2 linked regions of the Neodiprion lecontei genome follow. The protein of the gene in region 1 binds, or shares a complex with, the protein of each later gene. Links are inferred from orthologs where the notes say so. Each region holds a gene or a part of one and is shown in the gene's direction. Other genes may lie near its edges.

Region 1 (13,416 bases):
ATAGAATTCGTTCGAATGATATTTTTACCCCACAAAAGATTTTATTTTACGAGTACAATGTTGATCGTACGCCGAGGCCTTGTCGTAACATTATGAAAAAAATAAAAATAGGGAAGTACAGTGTTTTTTCAGCCCTCGCCAAATGACCTTTCGATATGTCCGAGGTTCAGTTTCTCGCGTGGTATTGTTGTGCGACTTTTATCCCCCCCCTCGTAAAACACATCAGTTGTACCATCGGTTCTAATATTATGCGCAAAGTGTGCATTATTGACGGTTATATTGAAATCCAATAATTAATTTAGCATTAATGAAATCAACCGTATATTTAGTTGTTATTGCACTAATGGACCCCGATACTTCTATGCCGGATGTCAATACCCTGCACTGAAATACTGGTGACCCGCGGTAGCAAATCTTCGCATAGTGCGTAGGAAGAAAATAATGTGCCAGTCCTATTTCAAATATTCATGAAATGTATTTTTAATATATTACTTCCATTATACTTGGTGGAAGCATGTTCATATTTGAACATCATTACGAAGTGTCTGTTGTGATGGATTTTTGATCATTCGTATATGTGCGTCTTACAGCAACGAATAACTTGAAAATGCGAGTAGGTATTGCTCGTTATCGCTTTCAAAACGTTTCAAGAGAAATGTAAATGTCGCCAATATTAAATTTGAGCAAATTCACTGCTCTAAAAAACTTGTTGAATTAGGTCATTGAACAAAAAAATAAACTAAGCAATCGTGGGTATAATTATTTATCTTTTCAAGAAACCATTAACTCTGTTGAAGTCTACATACCTTATTAACAATTCGTAAATAGGTGACGTACAAATCAACTGATAATTTTCAAAAAAATTCAATATATTTACGAAGAAGTTTTCACGAGAACTTAATTTTTGTTTTTTCAAAATGTTTTCAAAGAGTTGTCAAACAAATTTTGTAATTCAAAATGTAAATATTGCAATTAATTTTGAAAAAAAAAATAATTCAGAGCAAATATCGACCTAATTTAGAATTCTTTCTTCCAAAAGCCTTCGTGATTGTGTATTTGAGTATGACATGAGTAACGAAAAATTTTAAATAAATGAATGAATAGTAATTTCGCGTACCTAGTATCTAATTTTAAGTGAAATAAAATGGCGAGTCGATTCAGGCATCGTAGAGAAATTTTAGAAAAAACTTGGATTCTACAGCTTCATCCTATTTAGCCTAGTCAAATAGAAACGGTAGCGATACCTCCACAGGCTGCTCGAGTAGCTTCGAAATTTCAATATTTCATTTCTTTTTAATTGTTGAATTCTTACGAAGACCAATTCCCGATTAAATTGAGAAAAAGAAATGGTTTAGAAAAAAATGCTTTACAGTATTACATTTTTATACTGTAACATTTTTGCAATCCTCTGTTCTCAAAACAGAATAATAATATGAGACTTGAAAATTGCTACCGATTTTGAACCCTTCACAAACAAAATAGTTACTAATTCAGAATGTTACAATCGTTAAAGCAAATATCTGATGATTATATCTGTAATATACTCTGTATTGTTGTGTGTGATTAAATCAAAATGCTTTCAAATTTTACCCTTCATTACAACCTGCTAATCGTTAAATCATGTTTTATATTTCCAGCCGTTGATCCTACGATGTTCTCGAGATATTTCTGGAATTCTGGAAGATCCAATTAATGAAAAGAGGCTTCAGAAAATCGATACTTGAGCAAAAAAACTTTTAGCTCAAAAAAAAGAAAAAGAAACCCTAAGCCATTATTATTTGATAAAAAAATAAATTGCTGTCAACAAGCTGCTATTGATTGTTTAGTTGCCATTGCAGGATTCCCTGGAACTTAATTGGTACAAGAAAGATCTTCTAGCTGTGGATTCTCTGTTGGAATACCAACCAGGATTGTTCTTTGCAGAAAATGACAATAATGGTAAAGGTAAGAAATTCATTTCTCCGCCTTCTCCGATTTAATATTGCTTTGTTTTTTATTTATACCTATAATTTGGCCAACACTTTAAATAGGTTTAACAATTAATATTGTCATTTCTCATTTCGAAATTAGCTTGTGCCCTGAAACATTTTACACTCAGTCCGATACTAACGATAAGTACACGGATCATATTCATGTACATATAAGGAATATAATTGAGCAAAATATAATTGCCATTAGTGAGCTATAACAGCTTATTCTAAGTTTTCATAAAGTCGCAGACGGAATAATAGCGCTCTATATTTGGTGCGACATGATCAATATATTAAATGTCATATCTTATGCGTTGCATTTACAAAAGTGTATAAAAAATAATATTATTTATAAACCATCGTCACTTGACTAACTCTTATTCCTTGCGCGCTCGGTCCATGGCTGTTTGTTTTGCCCTCTTATTGGCCAAGTATATTGACCAGAAGAATCCAATCAGATTTACTACCAGCACACGTAGCTGTAAAAGAATGCAACTTGTATCAACAAATACATATGGTTTTAGAACTTGCTAATTACTAGGATTTATATAAATTGGTAACATAATGTAACGATTTTTGTTGTAAAATTCTAATAACGTATTCCTTATTGGCAAGATTTGAAAGTATGTAGTTAAAATTATGAATCAATATTTTTCTGAGTTCATATTATCTATCTGATTACCATTGGTGGGACGAATGTTATGTTGATAAATTGGAACAGTGTTAAGTACTTCCAATTTGCCGCTAGAACGGGCCAGTATAACTTCTCCAACTGAGCGTAGGATGTTTCGTGAGTTTTTCCCTGAAAAGTAGTAAATACATTTAATTATTATGCATCGCTATATCCTATTGGTAAATATTCAAGATTGGATTATGTACCTCAAATCGTGCGAGCATGTACAATGACAAGACTTGGAAACATGGTGTATACAAAATTCTCTCTATCAGCAGAATCCCAAGCGAATGCTTTGTTAACTTGTGGATATGCTGGTAAAAATAATGAGGCACTGGTCCACCAAAAATGAAGCTAAAAAGAAAAAATTAAACGAGATAATACACGTCACAGTGTTGAACGCGACGATTAAGTCGAACGTTGCAAAGTTCGCGCATTCTTACTAAAACGTATACAGCATCCTGTTTTGGACTACTTGTTGGGATGAGTAAAAAACTACGTGAAATCCAATACAAGAAGGTTCGTACAAAAATTCGCAAAAATAAAAAGGCGGTATCATTTTGTTAGTATCGAGAAATTCTATATTAAGGAGAAACCTTTGAGTTTTGTATTATTATAAGGTAAAAGAAAACATAGGAAGCCTTTAGAATATTATAGTCACACTGTAACTACACGCACCCTTTGAAACCCTACAAATTTTGGTTAGGAATTTTTTTTCTATCTCAGTTTTGAAAATATCTCGATGAGTTATTTAAATACGAATAGCCTGTATATTTTAATAATGTCTTCGGATAGAATATATTCGCGATGCTCACACGGTGATTAATTATCTGAGTAGCTGAAACGGATACTGTTGCAAGGAGTCTGGATAGATAAAGTTCCATAGTACAACATGCCCAGGCAGTACACTTTCTGACATGCCGACTATCATTTGGCTTTTGATAGTCAATTAAAAGTCAACGCACACAATAAAACTGACTAAAAATTATTGAAAACTTGCAAAAATCGTGACTCGTTAACTAAGCTTGGTAATCTTTTGCCGACCGTAAATCGTATTGCTATTTAGGTGGGAGTCGTGAATAATTAACAAAGCGAATTTCAGTGATATTAGAACAGTATATGTCGGAAAATGATTGTGTAAAGTATCGAATGTAGTTAGAACAATATCACACAGGATTGTATCGATTTTAAGTAAATAAGATGTTATGGATAGAATAAAAATACTCTACAGTAAAAAAAAAATCAGAAACCAGTAGCTATGTTCATTTTGTAGACAATTCAAGATACAGCATCGATATATGGATATTTTTTGGTACATGTGTGGTGTGCCAAGTCTTTCGTGAGATTGAAATTTGTAATGTCAACGCAACACTAACGTAAGATTAAGTTACTTCTATTATTAGTGAAGGTTGTGGGAACAGCGGGGCAAAAGTGAATTGCCTACTGAGATCCTCAAAATATCCTGAAAGGAAATCTTATATCCTCATTTTTTGATACCCTATGAACCCTGAATAATTGGGACGATAAAATTTTTTGTTCATACATTTGCCGCAACAACGTTATAAACACCAATCTCATTGTCTTATTGAATGCTACAAAATAAGTGATTTTAGATTGAAGCTGCAAAGCGTGTTGAATAAATTATTGACCTTCTCCAAAGTTGGTACTAGTTGTGTAGAGTTTAATGCCATACAGCAAACTCAGCGCAACGAAGCAGGAGAAAACTTGGATACACCATTCATTTTGGTGAATTCCATTCACATTTCAGATCTGGTAAATACATAATCTCCAATTCGAAAATATAATTCCTGGAATTCAAATATTGCTCTATTTAATCAAATGAAATTGTATATTGATAAAATATGCCTTTCGCCTAAAGAATTCGAGCGTTTTATCGCAACTCAATAGTTGATAAGTATCACACGAAATATAAAGTATGCTTATAATTCCCCATACCTTTCGATCATGAGCCAAATACCCATCCATGTATGCATGTATTGTACTTGATAAGATGGCTTAACAAGAATACGGCTTTTTTTTAATAACTGCGTTGCAATTGTTAAATTGAAACTCGTCTCTTATACCTGGCGAGGAAAGGATAAAATATTGCTGATTTATAACACGAGGCTGAAATAATTTTTGGTTTCTTAGTCTTAAGACACTTTGCACGGCCAACACACACATTTTGTTAAAGTATCAAATTTGCCTCACCTTGACCATATACTTCAACTATTTTGATGAGTTTATATATTCGAAAATTTGGAACAATTTCAAATGAATATGTGATATTTTGGTATTCAACACATACAACAATGGGCTTGTTGGCGAGAACTGCCGAGAGTCGAGACTCCTTGCAGACCTCGTTACATAATTGGCGCTGGCATTGGTAATGGTCGTGAGCATCGCGAATAGTAATTAACTTTATCTGTAAAACAGTGTAAATTAAATTTTTCGTCTTTTCTTGTTTTTATTTGGAAAATTTTACAAATTTTTAGTAAGTTAAACATGTTACAAATAGATGATTGAATATTAGACAATTAGGTAATAAGGCATCTGAGTAAATATTTGTTGTGATTTTTAATCATTCCAACAAATCTTTTACTCAAAGAACTCTTGATATATCGATATGTACATACTATAGTGAAATATTCATTGAAATTTACATGCGTAAATGATGCCAAGCAACTTACCCGAATAAAGCGAATGCAATCAGACTATCGTGATTGAGGTGCTTCGCTCTGGATAATTTCTGTGATACATAATTACCCAAAGTTGCGATGCAGCAACTGGAATTGAAAAATACATACCATCTAATAATAGAAAACTCTTGTGATACACAAGTAATTCTGAGTTATGTGATACATCGGTGTTGGTACTACTTTTTTTTTTCACTTTGCCTGATTTGCTGGAATTTCTAGTAAAGGTCTTACAGTAAAGATATATGCGTTGGTTTTAATATGAAAAATTTTTCAAATATCGCGGAAAATCATCAAACAATCAACTCATACGAAAAGTGTTCATTGACGTAAAATTCTTCTCGCAAAATTACAAGTGTGTCGTAAATATGACGAATTATTTTTTACCTCGTAAGAGCCTTCGTTTTTAGCGGAGTTGAATAAAGACTATGAAAATAAGCTCCAACCAGTTCGTAAACAATGTCTACAGATTTTGATAACGCCATTGTCACGAGTTATCGCTGTTTTTGGGGTTGATCTTCTTTAATCTTCACTGATCTCTACTTGCGGTATAGTGTCTCTGACCTCTATCGTCTCTTGAGTCTAGTCTCTAGTATCGTTATCTATCTTACTTTTTTCTTTTTTTTCTTCTTATTTCTGCTCAATCATACTTATTTCCAATTATGCTGTTTTTTAACTTATGGGTTCTTTTAACTCGACTAGGGCTATGATTGGATAAACAAGACGAATAATGTTACTATAGCATATCATCAGTCAACGTGTGCTGTCAGTTTTCACCTAGGAACCAGTAAATTGTAGAAGAAGAAGTCTCAGATTTCTAAGCTACAATTTGTAGGTATTGCAACGTGCCGGGCCACGAGTGTTGCGTACATGAAATGCGATGAGAACCGTTGGCGGTACGTCGGTAACCTATAATTGAAACCTTCCATTTTGGAAGCTTGCTACGGTTTTTCACTTTTTACATTTCCGACCATCCAAGCATTCTGATTGATTTGCAAAGTTTAGTCAACTGATCACAATGCTTGGATGGCGAGAAATGAGAAAAATGAAAAACCGTAATAAGCTTCCAGTTTTTAAAATCTAGAGATGAGCGTTTGCAGCAATCTGTCGGTAAAATTGTTCATCCTTATTCCAATTCCATATTGTTCCTCCGGCGATCCACCTCTTTATAGTCACTTATTAGTTACTATTACTTCGTGGCTGAAAAATCCAAGCGCGCTTCAAGCACACTTCAAGTGAGTAAATATTGTGGAGTAGAGCTTGGCTAGCCTCATTTGCTTCCGTTCAAGCTCTCACGTCAAGAATGCTAGAACAAAAATCGTGCGGTATGAACGAGAAATCATTTTACAACACTGTTCAATGTCAAACTTTTTCTGCCGATGGGAATTATTTATTAGCTGGGAACATATATGGCGACGTTTCTGTCTATGAGTAAGTACAAACGATTAATTTTTTAATTCAAGTAATTCAATAATCCGTCGACCTGCCAGGTTAAGTTGTATAGTTTTACAGCATACCCATAGTGATAGGTTTTAATCTTACAAACTTGATTTTACGAATATTGTCGTAGTTGATGATGACAAACATCATCAACTTTTACAATTGGAAAATTATTCACTAATAGGTTGTCTAAGGTACTGGGTCCCTATCATGGAGATGACTGTGATCCAAGAGGGCCGAATTATCAATTCACTGCGTATAAACAACAACAAGTTCACAGCATTATAGCAACTGATAAATTTCTGATTACCGGAACGGTAGGAGAAATATCTGGATGGGACTGGAAGGTTGTGACTTCCAATAAAGTATCTAAAATTAAAGTTTCCTGGACGATTCACATACCAACCGTTAAGTAAATATCAAATTGCACAGTACGCTATTAAAACTGTCATGTATTTACAAATTGATGAAACTAATTACATTTGTTCATACATATTCCACTTATTTTCAGCTGGTTTTATTTCTCTTTTCTAATAATTTAAGGGACAGCTACGTTAAGCCAGATGTCAACTACATGCTAATTTCACACGAAGACAACATATTACATGCTGGTTGCGGTGATAATAAGATATATACGTTCAGCTTAGAAGATGGAAAATTACTCAGAACACTTGAAGGTCACGAGGATTTCATCCATGCTCTTTCAATTTTGTAAGTAAAATTTATTAACATCTAGAGATTATTTCATAATAAATAATACATTTGGGTCATTTTGAATACTCACATTCATTATCAAACGAAACAATTATTGCAAGTAGTTATTTTCAAACTGAGGTAAATTCGTAGTCTCTTGTTGAGAAGTAGCCTTTTACAAGATTAGACAGAATAGAGTTGGTATTAAATGTGGGTTGTGGAGTGTACATCTGGATCCAATCAATTTAAACAGGCATTTCAGACATTATCCGATTTTTAAAAACTTAAACAAAAAAACTATGTAATCTAACATTATAATTTGTGAATAAGTTTTTTCGACAGTAACATTTCGATCTCAATTTTCCCATGTTTGGAACTAGTTTATGTAAAACTCTAACTTTGTATGCTATTTGTTGCACAACATATGTAGAATTACATTGTGCACATTTGATTTAAGCTTTTTAAAATGATACTGTAACGACTTAGGGACAGGGTATTCTCTGAATATCGTATTTCACAAAGCGAAGAAAATAAATCCCTTACACTCATGTCTTAATATCAACAGAGGAAATCAGCTGGCATCTGCTAGTGAAGATGGGTCAGTAAGACTGTGGGATATGAGAAAAAAAGAAAACACAAATGTCGTGAAGCCTTTCTTAGCAGACAAAGTGAACAGACCCAAGCTCGGCAAGTGGATTGGAACTGTTGATTTTACGGAAGATTGGCTTGTAAGTCATTCTAGAAATTACAATAAGGGCTTGGGAAATCATCTTCACTTGTTGGAACTGTTACATTTTAAGGGAGTTTAGTCTAATCTCATATAATACTACGTGAAAAAATATCCTATACAGTACAACATGATTCTCATTATATTGATCCTCAGCTCTGTGGAGGTGGTCCAAAATTGGCTCTCTGGCACATGCGAACTATGGAAGTGGCTACTATATTTGACTTACCTGACCAAGGTATTCACCTTGGATCTATTCACGAGGAGAGAATTATTGCTGGAGGAGCAATGCCAAACGTCCACCATCTCACTTACCAAGGAGAAGTGTTAGCTGAAGTTCCAACATCGAGCAATACAATTTATTCTATTGTTCATCAAGAGAGTCCACAAAAATTATTGAGTATGGCTGGATCAAGCAATAATATTGACATTTGTACAAATTTCAGTTACAGAGAAATGGTACTGAAATTTGCTTGACATGATAACAAAAAATTCAAGCACCCTCTATCAGGATACAAGACTGAAAAGTCCTGCTCTGCTGCGAGTTACTGCGTAGCTGTACCTCCAGAACTTGTTGACCTGCAGAGGCAACCAATAACGTAATGTTATTCTTCATTTTCCACCACTCAAGATAATTTTGTTCAATCATTTTATGTAAAATATACTCCGTTTGAGTAAAACGGACCTGCTAAATTATTAATAACTCCCCCATAGGACTGACCCTACGTTATCTTCTCTCCTCAATGGTATGAGTTTTTTTTTAATATTTAAGATAAGAATAAGCATATTAATATCAAGTGGTAATTTAACTTTTTGCAATAATACAATTGTCATTAAATGTTAATGGTATTTGGACTGCGTTTGAAAGATTTATGTATGTATGTACAAGTTTGTTCATTAATCCTATGGAGCATATAGGAGGGATATCTTAGGGTTATAAGTGAGCCAATTTTAGCTGCAGTAGTGGAGCTGTAAAATGAAAATTGTTGAAATGGTGTCGTAATAAGTGTAACTTGTATAACTAACACAATCAAGTTCATCACTCAACTAGGTGGGTGACACAGTAATTCTGGCAGTCCTCGAAATGTCGCCAGCAGCTAGTAACGCTGGTAGACAAGTGGTTCATACAGGTTCATATAGGCAATGGGTAGTACAGGTATACATGAATGACTACGGTGGCGGCATTACGTGACCATATTATGGTAGTAGGACAGCGGCGCGTGGCTGGGGGGTGCAATCAATGACATAATTCGTATAGAACCAAAGTCTTATTTTGTTTCGGACGGTGAACAAGTTGACCGGAAAGTTAAGGCACTAATAGTTTCATACATTTTACTGTACATAGTTAGACAGTACATAGATGACGTAATTGTATATGGTGATCCTCCTGATTCTAATTTTTTTTTCACCATTGAAGCAAGGACCTTCAATCAAGCTGCTTTCTGATTGGTCAAAATCGCTTTCGCCGGTGAAAAGAAGATCAGAATTAGGTCTATGGCAATGCGTTTTAGAACACACCTTGTACAATACAAATATAACTATGTATTCGTATCCTTGCGCGGAGTTGAGTGACGTAGTAGCATGGTGAAGTGGAGCATTTTGCACCGTGGCTAGTTATGTATATGATAGAGGCTTCGAAAACTTCTTTTCCGAATGCCCACAGTCCTTAGAATAACGAATTGTACAACTAGATATTATTATATTAACCCAAATTGAGGTGAGATCACGAAGTAATACTTGAAACACCTGAGTTCATTAACAACGCGTCAGTTAATTTTTTATAAAATAGGATTCAATTTCAAGCTATACTTTGTCGCAAAGTGTTGTACGATTCTCAACACAAAGATCTTATTCACTACCTAAATTAATAACCAGGATAACGAACATAGTGTTTGTATATACTTTCATACGAATGGTGCTAATTACGTCACGCATTTGTAACCTAAAATGTCATTTGTAAATGTTGCACACGTCAGCCTAGATTATTACTCTACTACGATACAATCCATCCTAAATTTCGTGTTAAATTTTCACAACTTCCAATGCACAAAACTTGAACTTTCACAGATCACGATTACAAAATAGCAAATTGCACTTCACACGTTTTCTGTCTTATCTTCACAGATGGCTGAGAAACCCAAGTACTATGGAAAAAATCGTAGTATTGTACGCAGAATTGGTTCGTTTCTACCGTTGAAGCCTCTCCCAAAAATCTATGTCAGCGTAACTGCTTTACATTCAATGAGCAATTCAATGATCGTTGATGATGCAAACTCTAACATTGCCGATACAAATGGATTCGGATTGGAAAGGTAATGCATTATGTCATATTATAATTTGTTTTTAGACACGAAACAAGCATGTTGTATATCAACTTCTGTATTCCAAAATTGTTGAGCTGAGTGGTAATATAGAAGCTAAGTTGAAAAATATAGTCTTGAAATAAACAAAAACGACTAGGAAAGTGATTTTTAAATTTACAACGTCAACACAATTTCGTAGGATATTTTGAAAGCCCTTAATTGAAGCTGAAAAGTATTATTCAGTGATGGAAGAGCGATAACATGTTGAATTAAGATCTGTTTTCAAACGTGGAACTTTCCAATATAAAAATACCTTTTTTTACATTACTAATTCAATTACAGAAAACAGAAAGTAACAAAGATTTAAGTATCTGCTATTTGGCACAGTGATATATACAATATATCTAAACATTTTTAAAAATATTGTACATTAAAGTGCTGCATTTGATTTTACGTCTGCCAACTTATTTGCTGACAGTGCTAACAAGGGACACATTTTCAGTGGGCGGCTATCTGGAAGTAAGCCAGACTTGTTAGAAACCATTAGCTTTGGTTCTGAAGTAAGATTGCTCGCCCTGGAACAGGAGTTACAAGAAATGCGAGAGAAAATTGCAACAATTGTCCAACACATCAAAACAACAGACCGTACGTATAACACTGTATTTAATAATATTATGACATTGATAAATAATTGTTGTTGTTACTGTTATTATTCTTGCCTGAGTAAGTCTTGCTGTATATGTACGAGAGTACTTATATTCAAACAATGGAATGCAAGTTGTCTGTGAGATATGTTATGACTGGAAACGAGACCGATGAGTTGACAATCCGATAATGAATTGTTGACTGCTATCATGCTGAAAGTAGCAGGTGATAATAAGCAGCTAATCTGTGTCTAACAGTTTCAGGGGGAGAGCAAACGATAAAACATCTAGAAATATAATTATGAGAATTCCCTGAACAGCCCTACTACGTTTCATTGTTTGCTCACTAGCTGAAAGCTTTATACACATATTATTTGCAGGCTATTACCTACTAATTTCAGCGTCACTTGACTGCTATGAATCCTAAGCATGATTCAGCCCATATATTCTGAATTATATATTTGGAAAGACGAATTGAAGTAGCTCATTCGCACATTGACGTATTTGAAATCTATTGCAGCACCGTCCGACACGACCAGTGAAAATGCATATGCAAACGACCCACCCCGCCCTCCTCCACCACCACCACCTCTTCCGCCCCCAAGTACACCACACATAGCAAGAAGGGCCAGTTTGCAAGATCATACAACATCTGAATGGCATAAGCCACCCTTGAATAGCCAAAAATCAATGGGAGATATTCTAAAGGAAATGGACAAGGTCAAGTTGAAGCCTATTGCAAGGTGAACATCCCCTTTATTATTTGTAAACGACTATTGTCGCTGGTAAAAATGACGCATTTTACAGAAATCAGGTAACGTGTATGACCGTTAAACAAAGTGAATCTCGTACAATATCACGACTCTTTTAGTATTCGGTGGCACTCAAGTTAGATAAGTGCATGGTGATTTCTCGTACTTATTAAATTATCTTCCAGGCTGTTATATTAAAATATTAAATACCGTTTTTTTTTTTTTTTTTTTTTGCAGTGCATATACACACGTATGTACAAATAATTCTTGTGGGCTAAATTCGTAGAAATGAAAATCTCACTGCAATTTACTTTAGCCATCTGACTTCTTATTCTTTCATTTTCTACTATGGCTTTTATTATAGTGGACTTTGCCGTTTTCTATTGATAACAATTTAGTTTCCTCAAATATTTAAGCGTGCAAACTTTACATTCAAATGAAATATTAAATAATGCTTTCTAAGATAGGGATGGTATTTGGAAGAAACTCAGAATTTTCGGATCCCTCAAGGCTTATGAGTTCTTATTCAGCTAGCATGAATGTGTTGACAAAATAGTCTTAGTCTATTCTGTTGTTAGATTACTAGCAATCGATATTCCTGTAATACAAAAACGGTTTATTACAGATCGCCAGGTGGAGGACCATTAAAGTTAAAGCGTGGAAACACTCCTAATAATGATCTGCAAGAAATTTTGAGAAAGCGGTACAGTGTTGTACAAGCTGAATCTCCAGATAGTCGAAACTCATCTATCATCTCAGCTCACAACGATTCATTTACCCATTAAAAACTTCCGTGAAAATCAAATATTTAAATACGATATGATAAAGACTATTTTTTTTTGTTTTCATTCTCCATTCGAAGTGAATTATAGTTCAGTGATTTTCTACCTAATTGTGAAATTAGATTTTGCCTATCTGCAGGCACATATCTTTTATTTGAAACGAAATTTATTACGCTATGATGAATCTCTTTATCTGCCAAAGAGGGTGCTATTGATATTTTAATTTGAATGATCGAGTATCATTACACGTGTAGTCATATTATGATATTACATACCTGTCAATATTTAAAGTTTTTGATAAATATAAATAATGTTGCATCATAAGTCCCGAAAGAAACGTGAATTTTAAATATGTACAAGCAAAACGACAAGCCAGCTCATTTATCACCACTCCAGTTATGCACAACGGAGATAGATTTTTTTAAACACAAATCGTAAAAATACCAAGTATTGAACACATGTTCTCAAAACTTCTATTACTTTGCCCCGTAACCAGAAAAAATACGATTACACATAACGTAAATTTGTAATTCTACTCCGTGACTACCCTGAAATTAATGAGAATGGCACTGTAATCTCAAGGATAATACGTACATTATCCGGACTTGGTTAATTTTACGATCTGTTATAGATGTGTATAGATATTCAGGTGTAATATACATACATGTATACATGTGTATGTATGTGTTTGTTAAATGGACCACCGGTGATAGCATAGAAGGCTGGCTTTACTCAT
Region 2 (11,939 bases), about 19 Mb from region 1:
TGCCGTTAGTTAAAACGTTTTATTTTCTGTTTGTTGTTTTTTTCTTTTTTTCGTTTTTTTTCAAGTCTCTAATCTGAAAGCATTCTCAGTGAAACGAATAATCTCTTTGCGCAATGGAAAGATGATCCTCGTCAAGGAATGAAATGACAAAATCATTTACAAGAATTAAACTTAGGGCACTATTTTCCTTTGTCAATTGTGACTAGCCCTCCTAGCATATTTGCGCTTAGTTTTTTCCTCTGGCTTACCTGAGCGGCCGCAATCGCTGCAAGACACCAGCTCCTCTGAACCACCAGTTTTTTTATTTTCTCTAGCATCGCCCAAGCAGAAGTCGCAGTAAGGAGACGGCTGGGCAGCTTTTCCTACTTTCTTTTCCCCGCTCGGCGCCGATGTCGTCGTCGTCGGACCCGCTTCGGGCTTTGCTGAAGAAGGAGAAGGAACTGCAGTACCCGGAGAAGGAACAGCCGACTGTAGGTCGTCCTTGGGAGTCGGTACAGTGGGGGAGGATGGCGCAGCAGACGATTGAACTGCCAATGGTGGTTGTTGTTGCTGTTGAGGTACTGCTGCTCCTCCGGCATTAGCCAGAGGCGCTGCAGGTGGTGGGGTCGGATTGCTCGACGAAGCAGTGCTCTGACGACCCCTTCGCGTACCACCTAATCACAAACCGACCACATACCCAGTTGCGCTTTACGTCTCTAACCGACGTCCATGCACACAGATCGATTGATAGCTTATCTTCGACTTTTTTTTTAAAACTTTAATAACAATTTATTCAGTTATAAAATGTCAACCGGGAATGTCTCAGGCATTTTTCTTGTTCTTTTATACTCGATGTCGCGCAAGCGTTATTTGCAAAATGGAAAATAACGCGTCGTTCTTTTAAACTGAATAAATTATTTCAAACATCTAGCGAATCAAAACCATATCAAAAATATAAATAAATAATCGAACACAAAAACAAACAGGCTGCAATTTAAAAAATTCTCCACCACCTTCTGCACATTTAGGTTGCGGTATGTAAACCGATATCTAATAACAATACTCCAAACTCAATATGTATATACGCAACAAGCTATAGTGGCGACTCAAATATTTTACATGTACTCGTCAATGGTTCGCGTTACAATCACCCGCGTTTTCTTTATTTTTCGCAGGTGTTTGTATAACAGCCCCTTTCATTTCAAAGGTCCGATACAGCAAACAAAAGATAAATAATTTATGTTGTTATTCGTTGAGCTGAAGAGCATGCTGAAGACAGAATGACAGGTTCTACGAAGAACACACACGTACCAGACACTCACGCAACACGAGTACGCATAAAAACATCGATTCAAGGCAGGGGTGGTGAAATTCTAACGCCGACCAAACACGGATCATCAGGATGTTCCAGTAATAAATTCACGATGAGATAAGATATTTTGTGTCTATGCGGGTTTGTCCCGATCTAGTGTTTGGACGTAGCCAGAAACGTGACGATGATATGTGAACGGGAAAGACGTGAATCTGGAGTTGAGCTCGTACGAGTTCAAGTCAACCAGGTAACGTTATAGGATGGAAATATCGAAGGGTTATTGGTACGAAAGGGAGGTGAGAAAACTGAGCTGATACTGGCTCCAACCTGGCTGGTCCAAAGCGTTGACATCAGCTGCACTCCACGATTCAACATCTGCGGGACTGGGACTTGGTTCCTTAGCAGGATCGCCAGAGGAGGTAGAGTGGGAATGACCGTAATGGTATACCAGACCTGGTCTGGTTTTATACCGAGCGCCGCACACTGTAAAAGTGCAAACACTGTTTTCCGGCGAAAAAAAAAGTACGTTCAACGTATAACCAATATTTCTTACAGGCCAGATATTTTCTCTCTTCTTTTTTTGATTCATTTCGTTTCTTCATCAACAAGTTTTAATTGAATTCCTGAACAATTTTGACGGGGGTTGGAGGACGAAAGCCAGAGGATAATTTTATCAGGGATATCACTTGCACACTTTCCGCACTAATACGCATCCCTATCCACCGATCATTGATCTCTATTTATGGACAAGCAGTGAAAGAGTTCCAGCCCAAGAAGCAAAAACCAATACGATGCAAGGCTTGATGCTTGAAAATACCTACGTTTTTAAATCGTTACAAAGCGAGCCATTACGTTTTCGCTTGGTAAAGTTATTTGCAAATATTAAGTGTTCCAAAAGACGTTTTCTTTTCCAACGATTACCCTTAAAAATATTAGATTTGATTCACGGGATGACAAAAAGGTGGACTTTTTAGCAATTCATTTTCACCATTTAAAACTGATTCGCTGATCATTTAATTAGGAAAAAAAAACGTCTTTATTATTTTTTTTTTAAAACTGAATACATAACAAGGATGTTATTGTTAAACAGAAAATAGATGCAAGGTACGCTTGAATTAATTCGAAGAGCTTGAATCAAAAAGTATATGGTGGTAATGTAAACCAAAACTGATTTATTCAAAAGACTTTCTGATAAACTGCAAAGACTATCACTCAATCGATTCTATTTATGTAATCAACGCAGTGCGAAATTAATTTCTCTATGCCGATTAATTGAAATGCTGGAAGTGTTGCGATTCGAGAAATTGTAATAGTGTGAAACATGAAAAGCAGTCAAGCAGAATAGTTTGCCGGTTAACTGACATCTTCACACGAACATCAGAGCATAATTAGTATTTTTTATTAGTCTGTTATTTTTTAAAAATTGTGAGTAATGTTGTAGTTGGTATCATTGAATTCATACTTTTATCATTAAAGCATCTGGGAATTAATGTCAATTAGAAGAGTACCTTTCGAGACAATAAAATATTAAATAAAATACTCCATTCCCCGACGCAAAATTACGCAGTGTGTTAATCTAAACGTTTTAAGAATTTATTTTGATTATGATTTACTTTCTTGCTTTTCTTCCCTAGTATATATTATATCATATATTCCTTTGTTTACCTTGCAAATAGTTGATAAGTATGGTAAAAATATAATAATAGAATAAGATTAACAAATTTTGCAACGCATTGCGTTAGTTACTTAAAACCAAAACAATAAACGGTAGAAGTAGTAGTGATAGTAGTAGTAGTTGTTGTTGCTGTTGTTTTTGTAGTAGTAGTAGTAGTGGTAGTAGCAGTAATAATAATAATAATTTGTTTTTTGTTTCAATGAAAACAACAGGAAGTGATCATTTGTAGTTATATCTATGGTTAAACTTACGGTCACAAACGAAAGGCTTATCGGAGTCGGCATTGTCGTAGTTAGCTTTCTTTCTCCCACGACCTCCACCCTGTATCAACAACAACAGATTGTTCATTGAGCGAAGCTCCGAATAAATTCGACATTTGTATAAAGTTTTCAATATATCTAAACTGTTTAATCCATGAAGTATCTTTCCAGTATGAATAAGTTCGATAAAAAACTGATGGAAGCAATACATTGTATATTAAACTCACCTTTGTTCTTTTGGCCCCAGGACTGTCCACGGTGGGTGGATGTCCCCTGATAGGATGGTGGGCTCCACCTCGGGGCCTTCTTCTCCGTCTTTTACTACTATAACTTTCTTCGTAGTCATAGTCACTGTCTGGATCGGGTTCGTCGAAGGCATCCATGTCCAGCATGTCTTGCTCATCATAGTACCAAGCATCCTTACTATGTTCATCTGAAATAATTTTTTCTTAATAATCGTTGAACATCAAGACTACAAGAGAGTTTGCGGAAACATACGTAACAAGTAATTTCAGTAGGGCTTAAAATATATTTTAAGCATTGAGGGTAGTGAATTGGCAAATCTAACGAGCGACGAGAATCAATTGGACCGGAAATTGTATCAACAATTATTGCACGCCCACTCGGAAGGAGATGCCAATCAGATGTATGTGATAACATGGAAAGTAGATATTGATTAGGACGAACCTTTGAGAGCAACAGAATCTTTGCTGTCATCATTTAGTCCCGCAACAATTCCGTCGGCTCCTTCGACTCCGTCATCTATATCCCCTCGGGTGCCTCGTTTTGGGTGAAGATAGTGCATCAGATACTGTCGCCGCTTTTTCCGCCATCGTTTGCTCGGGTAAGTATATACCTGACCATGCATCAAGCCTGGGATTCGTTCTCGAGCCGACATGAAGAGAGCCGAGTGATTTTGGGCGACTCCTGTGGTTAGAAAAAACTCGTTTATCAATAGCCATTGATTAACCAAGACAGGAATGACGGGAATGTCAAGATATCCAGTAACTAATGACAATAATCACAGGAAGTAATCAACTGGTTCCATCTACTTACCAGTTTGCGAGTCGAGGAAGGGCATTCGCAGTCTTCGTTCTCTGCATAGTCTTGTGTTATAATTGGAAGAATTCTCTATGGCTTCTCTATAGGCGGTGTCGTTCAGGAAGCTGCGGACAGATCAATACATTCAACATAGCGAAGTGCAACCCGCTCGTCCTACGACGGAGCAAAAATCGTCGAGGTTAAATTACTCTGTCAATTTAACGATGCGAATATTTCCATCAACATATGTGACAATCGTCTGGTCGCACTCACCTCTCGATTTTACTCAAATTCGACTCGTTCACTACTTGAATTAGGTGATGGGACGCTGGGAGAGCTGTCACCGTCGCCATCTTCAAGCAGTTTCCATCTCATGGGGAAATCGGAAATGCAACCGCCATTGTAGCCTTCATTAAATCTGCCGGAAGTACAAGGAAGAGTCGATCAGGGAGCGTATAATATAATCCTACATTATATATTAAAGTTGCGACAGATAGCGATTATTGCTAAAGTGGGACAATTGATATGTCACGAGCTTTGGCTTCACAAATGTGGAACAATTGATTTATAATCGATTCTTTATAAGAAATTTACAATTTTTCATCTCGTGCACATGCGATAATTTCCCTGGAGTCGATGATCGAATAGAATCAGTGCGCAAGTCACGTTACGTTGTAAATAAAATGGCGACTGACTTGTGGTAATTGTTGACTCTTTCTTTACCGACTAAAATTACGATACCGTGTGTTTGTAGTAGCTTATTCTAATTGAGGTTGAACGAAGAAAAAATTCGGTTCTTTTCAACGCAAATTGAAGTTCGACCTAGCTGATGTTTACACCTTGAATAAAATTTTTAAACTTCAAGAACCCGACGTCACTACATCATCGAATATGTCAGATGGTAAATAGCCAAATATAATTCAAAATCAAATTGTAAATGCGACATTTATGTCAGTTTCACGGTATAAGCGCCGGAAAGTGAGACATAACCTCATTTTGTGTTTTTATACAAAAAATTAGCTTTGTGATTATACTACAACATTAGTTAAACGTTTTTAATTGCACGATTTTTTAGAGGAAGTTATACGACGTCGTCTACTCATAGATGGAGATGGAACAGGCGATGATAGACGGATAAACGTTTTGTTGAAGTCGTTTTTAAAATGGGCAAATACTCCGGATCCAGACAATACTGTGCATGAAAGAATGCTGTCACAGCTAGCCCAGTGTGAATTCGCACAAAAAAAATCTCGTCTCGTAGCAAATATGAGTCAAGAGGAGTTAAAGAATTATGAAAGGATGTCAAAGGATATTGGTATTCAAATTGAAGAGGCTAAAAAAGAAATTGAGAAAACTAAGGTCGAGCTACAAGATGCTAAACGTGTTCGTAAAAATAGAATCGAGTATGACGTTCTTGCCAAAGTGATCAGCGAACAGCCTGATAGACTTGAAACAGATGTGAAGCTCGCCACTTTGCGTAAAGAGTTGGGAACCTTGAAGGTATTTTATGGACAAATTTTTTATCCTATCTTAGAAATAGTTTTAAATCGTTCATTTTTATGTCGACAATTAGCCGATTAAAGTGTGTCTCTTGGGAAAAAGTACGGCAACAACTATTTTATTCTTACAGGAAAAATCTGAACAATTAGAGCATAAGCTAGAAATGCGAAGAAAACAATTCCATGTGCTAATATCGTCGATTCATTCGCTACAAGGAATGTTGGATGAGTCTGATGAAGAAATAATGGACGTCAGTCTTGAGAATTACGAGGATGTGGATGTGTGTATGTCTCCAAAGGCTGCAGCCTGGTAAATGTTTCAAATTTTCCCCCGTAGCGTTTTGCAACAATAGATTATTGTAGGAAAGTAATTGAGAGATGAATTTGAGCAAAATAAGATCGTCAAAATCATCTTCCTAGTTTCAATTTGAGCTTGCTGGTCTTTGGAACGTGCCTGATAGTCAGGGATAATCTTGTCCCTCTGTCAATCACTTCATTCTCTTGATATTTCACAGCACAGAGATCTAGATTCATAATGTTCTTCCTTGAAATCGTATCACAATGCCTCTCAGAAATTGAATGCAGGTACTTGTGGTACAGGTCGTTTTCTAAAATAAGTAAACTTCTTCTCTCAAGTAGCAAGGTAAACTCCAGATTAGAAACTTCCTACGAATAAAGAATTCAGGAATAACTGTCAAAAAGCTCGTAGTTTCTCACCCTTATCAATATTTCTTTTACAGATACTTACTACGTGGTCAGTCTCATTCCGCTTATAAAAATCCAGGAGAGTGTGCGAGCCACAACTTATTGTTGTAACAATAGGATGAAATAATGGACCATCCGAATGTGCCTGTATAATAAAAAGTCAGTCCATATCAGGGACAAAAGGAAGAAGACTGTACGATTTTGTGTTATTCATAAAGAAGAACAATGCCACAATTTTGAAGAGATATTCTCAAAGTATTAGGAAACATATTATAAAATGAGATCCTATTTTACCATTATTCCTTGCCCAGGCAAATACTCGTTGATCAAGACATGATTGGGTAATTTTGTTTCTGGGAAGATCTGGAGACCTGATATTTTCCCAACATACTTCGTTAACCACTAGAAAATGATTTTTGATTATTGTAAGTTATTCCCCCTCCTCTACTTCTGCCTAGAAAATACTATGTATTTTGAGTCAGAATAAGAAAAAAATGCTGAAACAAATGGCCCTTGTATTCTCACTCACTGCCGGTATTTCCTCTGCTATCATACCCTTAGGATGAGGTATACCACCCCAATTCTGAAGTCTACGATGACTCAACTGGGTCCATTTTGGTAACGGAGAGTTGTTCACCCGCTTAATAATTTCTATCTCTTCCTCCGGCGTTATGAAATTTGGAATGTAGCGAACGGTTCTCGGTATCTATGAATCGAATGGAATTTTTTTGCAAGGAGATAACATAACCTCGAATATCCACAACCAATATTATGTTCATCGATTTTTGGAATAAAATCATACCTTCGGAACGATGGAAGCCGATGAAATTTCCAAATTTTCGCAAACCAAGTCCATTATTATTCAGCGCTTCAATCAACGGTTTTCCGAGTAGGGAAAATCACGAAGTTGTCTGCAGTAAACTGTCACTGTCATCTTAGCATTAATCAAGTAGTTCACCAGTGGATCTCATTTCTGTTGATATTCGCTTGCGATTCATGAGTTCCATAGTTCCGACCCGTGGTTCCGATGGTGGGAATTACACAGTTTAAACGGCGTTCAGTTGTTTCTGTGTAGAGTCAGACTACACTAAGTTTATGCTTCGATTAACGTTAGCGGAATTGGGCGTCACTCGTCTAAGTGTGATACCCGGCAATGATAACCGGCCCATCTGAACAGGTCGAAACCACGTGTCGGAATGATGGAACAATTGTCAACAGAATGAGATCCACTGATCAACACGTGATCAACTCACGGGAACACTTTTGCTGCCGCTGAAAATCTAGCCTACCCACGTTGTCATGGATTCAGGCGCGCGTCATTACGAAATTGATCCGTTTTTAACCCTCCTCGCTTTATCGATTATTCTCGCATTATATAAATAGAAGTAAATTAAGACGCGAAATGACGGAGGAAAGGACGACTGGAGGTACGGGAGACATAGATGGTAAAAGGTATTCGTTCTTATGTACGGAATAAAAATTTCTTCAATGCCAAAAGGATAACTCTAAATAAAATGAGAAACTGAATTTTACAAGCCAGTGCAAGCCGTCGTTGGGAGAATTGCTGGGATCGTTTCAGGTCAATGACTGTCTGGTTAAACTGATTCATCAGGTCTGTCATATCGTATTACAAAAGTTAACAATAAGCCTAGATTCGCTAGATAAGGGGCAATCATTCTATTTTCTGCTTTTGTCGTAGTTTTTACTTTACAATGAGTTCGAGAGTACGGCCGATTGCTTGGTTCACGAGGCGCCTAAACTTGGGTTCGATGTTCTCACCGAACATCTCTGCACCAAAAATGCGATACCCAAGGACGTCTGCAAGGCAGTTATGTCCCAGTACGTCGCTGGGAATTGGAAGCAATTTTTTAATGTAAGGTTCGAAGGTAGCACCATCTAATCGAGAAGAATATTGAAATCTAATTGTTGTTCTTTCTGCTGATCGCAGCTCTGGAATAACTTGATCCCACAAAGCATTAGAGAAACTACAGAATACAAAGTGCTGAGCTTCAAACTTCACCTGCATTTTGCTGTTTTGCCACTGAGAATCAAAAAACTGGATCTACTAAGAGATCAGAGTGAGCATGTGTTTCTCTTATCGTTATTACTTCGGTATGTTTGAATTTCACTGTCAAATTCCAACTGATTTTCTCAAATACAGGGTCTGACGAAGTTTCGAGAACACAAATGATGAAAATACTTGAGAACGCTGCTGAAATGTATTTTCTTGGAAGAGAGGTTCGCTTTTCTCTCTAGTATGTTTGGCTCCGATACTGAGCACGATTAGAAAGATGGTTTTGTTTATAAATTTCTACCACAGGGAGATGATAATCAATCGAAGCAAATGATGACTGACGCCATGGAACAACTGAGAACTTATATGGAGACAGATGGTCGCGAATTTGAAGAGAAAACGGATTTTTTACCTTTTTTTGCCCTTCCCTGCCTGGATGATGATCAAACCTACACTACGTTCCCAGAATTATTCGAAATTAGTTGGATGGAGGAGTTGACAAAGACTATACAAGTTTTCCTCATGAATCGGAAGCAGGTACTTGTATCGTAATTGGCGTAAAACGGTGTGTTCATCAAAAGCGAACTTAATTCATGATTCTTTGATATCTTGTCCTCAGATTCGATTAACGGCATCTCAAAAAACGTCCACAGAGACGATGACAACGGCAAGCAGACCTTATGTATGCGTTCAAGGAAATGTTGTAAACGTGCCTCTGACGTGTGAGAATTTGAAAGACTTCGAGGACAAATTAATGAGTATGAATCCAGCTGGCAAGATACCTATGGTTCAAAATGATGTTCCGAGAATGCCGTTGGAGATAACCAGAAGTACAATAATGAGACTGATTCCCCAGCAAACAGTGGATAACATAGATATTGCCCCGAATGATAGAAATATCCCAATGTTTAGAGAAAATCACAACATAATTGATCGACTTGGCTGCCATGCTAAGAAACGCTCATGTAGAATACATTCCAAGTAAGTATTGAAATGAGGCGAAGAATATTACTGTTAGACGAACGATCCTATATTCTTGAATGTTCAATTTTTGTCTCATCAGAAGCGCACAGACCCGGATCAGTACCGTAACGACGACGACAAATTTTATATCTACAAGCGATCTCCGCCAGCCTGCAGCAGTTTTGAATTGTTCTGTGCTAACAAAAAACATGAAAACACCGATTCAAACGAACCCAGAATTATCACTGACTAAATCTCATTTGTACAGTATTCAAAGCAACCATGAAAAGTTGAAGATCAGATTTCACAAACTACATTCGGATTATCATAAGTTGATAGGAATCGCCGGAGAATTAACGGCTGCGCTTGAAAATTCAGTCAGAGGAGAGGCAGTCGATCTGCAAAATATGTTGGAATCATGTATCACCATATTTCCAGACCTCTTCAATCATAACGTAAGAGAAAATACTTCTGAGGTAAGCTGAATGATTTTGTGGGCAGATAAATTTGATTCTTTTTCTCATTGTTCACTAAACTTTCATGCAATGTGATCCTTAGACGAAAACTTTGCTTGATCAAGAAGTGGAATTAAAACATACAGACCTCACAGAAGCACCCAGTCACATTGGCCTTAACATCAATTCTGTATCTCCAAAACTATTGGATTACAAAAAAATTAAATTTCATTTGATCAATGGGAGCGTTAAAACAAAGTTATTACTATTGCAAGCCTTGCGTTGGGTGAGTACGGTCCATAATACAGTTTCGGATAAAATTTGTACATGACACCAGAAATACGATCCTGTATGGCAAACTGAATTAATCACTATTATCAAGACCGTCGTTCTTACAGAAACTTACTCTCAGTCAACCGGGAGACCGGGATGAAACTGTGAACGAGTACCTGAGAGGAGATATTTTGGGACTACATGCTCAAGTGGCTTGCGACAGCGGTAAACAAATCCTGCCTTATTTATTAATGCCCAAAGACGTAGCCACTCCTCATCCCCTGCAACAGTCAGCAGCGAGGTTAATCAACACTTTGGCTTCTCTGAGATGCGGGAGAGATTACTTGGCTGTTGGAGCTACGCTGCTCAACTTGGTAAGCTTAAAGTACAATGTGAATATTCCAAAAATCGTGGAAATTATAAACCATCTTGTTTCAGATTGTCAAATGCCTCAATGGAAACAATGGTGAGTCGATAGATTCATTCACTTGCGATATGATAATCGCAATGCTGCAAAAAATGTCATTGCGAAAACAGCAACGACTCTACATGATCGAAACTGGACTTGTGGAATGGCTGATATTTCACTTGAAGTCGGAAAGCGATAAAATTGGCTCGTATAGATTGGAATATGCCACTGCACTCCTGATGAATCTATCCTTGCACAAAGCAGCACAGATACGAGCATCGGCTATGGCTTCCGTGGTTATTTCTACTCTGACTACTTTACTAGCCACAGATCATGCACCTGTGAGCATATTTACAAAGATTCGTGCAAAGAGTATTTTGTCAATTGTTACTGATGCCAGTCACTTATCGTTCACCTTCTGTATCAGGCACTACCCTACATCAACGGATCATTAAATAGTTTTTTATCAAACCAAGTAATAAACGAGGAAGCAAAAAAATCGGGACTTACAGCTGTATTGGAATATCATCGAGGGCGAAATTCAGGAGAAATAAGGTGAATATAGGCTCACAGTAAAGATGTTTAATTTATCGCTGTCGATTGATTATTAATTTGTAGAAAACATTTGGACCATATTTTAAAAATTCACAACCGTGATTATACCACCAACTCAGAGGACTATGAAACGGCGGATGACGATAATGTGAGCTTTCCAAAATAATAATCGTATCTTACTGAATTTCATTGATTTATATAAGGTGATATTTAAATTAGGAAGAGCTCGATGTACTGGAAGATGAGCTGGAAGAAGGAGATCCCGTCAAAGTTCATTCTGGTGAATTATCTGGAGAAGCATTGCTCGCTTCATGTTATTCCATCGCGCCATTGATCACACAAACAGAAAGTGTAAACGTTTTCGAGTCTAGACCAAAAACACCAAAGATGCATTCTAGAAGAAATTCGTTAAAAATTCCAAACCCCCAAAAAAATACACTGAGCAAACATCGAAATGATGTTGAAACACCGACGCGAGATATAGGACTATCCCCGAGGTAAAGCTTGCTTCTTTTATATTTTTGGAGTTTAATTTTACTCATGTATTATCGTTATCCGTCATGCATTAATTTTCTCAAAGACTAACAATGCAACATTTATCCTTGCGAAGAAAAGAATCTGTTTGCCAACGACCCATTGCCACTTCACCCATAAAGTCGTTATTGCACCTTGACATACCACCTTTGCTGTCAAGGCTATCGGCACACGTGACACAGGTACAAGTTCCACAAAAACAATGCAGATAGATAATGTTTTGAATTGGCGATTAATTTTTAAGGGAAAGCAAACGGCTCAGACT

Evidence for each region.
Region 2: THO complex subunit 6 (region 1) and THO complex subunit 7 homolog share a complex: the UniProt entries of both Drosophila melanogaster proteins name them as parts of the THO complex. The link is inferred for Neodiprion lecontei from reciprocal best matches to the Drosophila melanogaster genes thoc6 and thoc7.

Annotation. Positions count from the first base shown.
Region 1 is NC_060266.1:5,732,691-5,746,106, forward strand, and holds THO complex subunit 6, read left to right. Parts: upstream 1-6,276; 5' UTR 6,277-6,449; intron 6,450-6,628; 5' UTR 6,629-6,642; coding exon 6,643-6,770; intron 6,771-6,963; coding exon 6,964-7,191; intron 7,192-7,322; coding exon 7,323-7,490; intron 7,491-8,037; coding exon 8,038-8,200; intron 8,201-8,355; coding exon 8,356-8,676; 3' UTR 8,677-8,720; downstream 8,721-13,416. Other genes in the region: peroxisomal membrane protein 2, read right to left, coding at 2,348-2,449, 2,653-2,772, 2,850-2,997, 5,334-5,429, 5,727-5,824; mitochondrial fission regulator 2, read left to right, coding at 9,284-9,355, 10,324-10,511, 11,005-11,147, 11,667-11,889, 12,524-12,683. UniProt on the Drosophila melanogaster protein: The THO complex is required for cell proliferation and for proper export of heat-shock mRNAs under heat stress.
Region 2 is NC_060266.1:24,835,905-24,847,843, reverse strand, and holds THO complex subunit 7 homolog, read left to right. Parts: upstream 1-4,967; 5' UTR 4,968-5,158; coding exon 5,159-5,168; intron 5,169-5,342; coding exon 5,343-5,767; intron 5,768-5,821; exon of another isoform or gene 5,822-5,897; coding exon 5,898-6,080; 3' UTR 6,081-6,146; downstream 6,147-11,939. Other genes in the region: zinc finger protein ubi-d4 A, read right to left, coding at 249-653, 1,619-1,774, 3,218-3,287, 3,454-3,659, 3,914-4,153, 4,283-4,392, 4,541-4,620; alpha-ketoglutarate-dependent dioxygenase alkB homolog 6, read right to left, coding at 6,175-6,432, 6,515-6,616, 6,766-6,873, 7,001-7,177, 7,274-7,327; lisH domain-containing protein ARMC9-like, read left to right, coding at 7,874-7,923, 8,008-8,083, 8,171-8,344, 8,420-8,549, 8,633-8,709, 8,792-9,022, 9,105-9,466, 9,549-9,924 and 8 more. UniProt on the Drosophila melanogaster protein: The THO complex is required for cell proliferation and for proper export of heat-shock mRNAs under heat stress.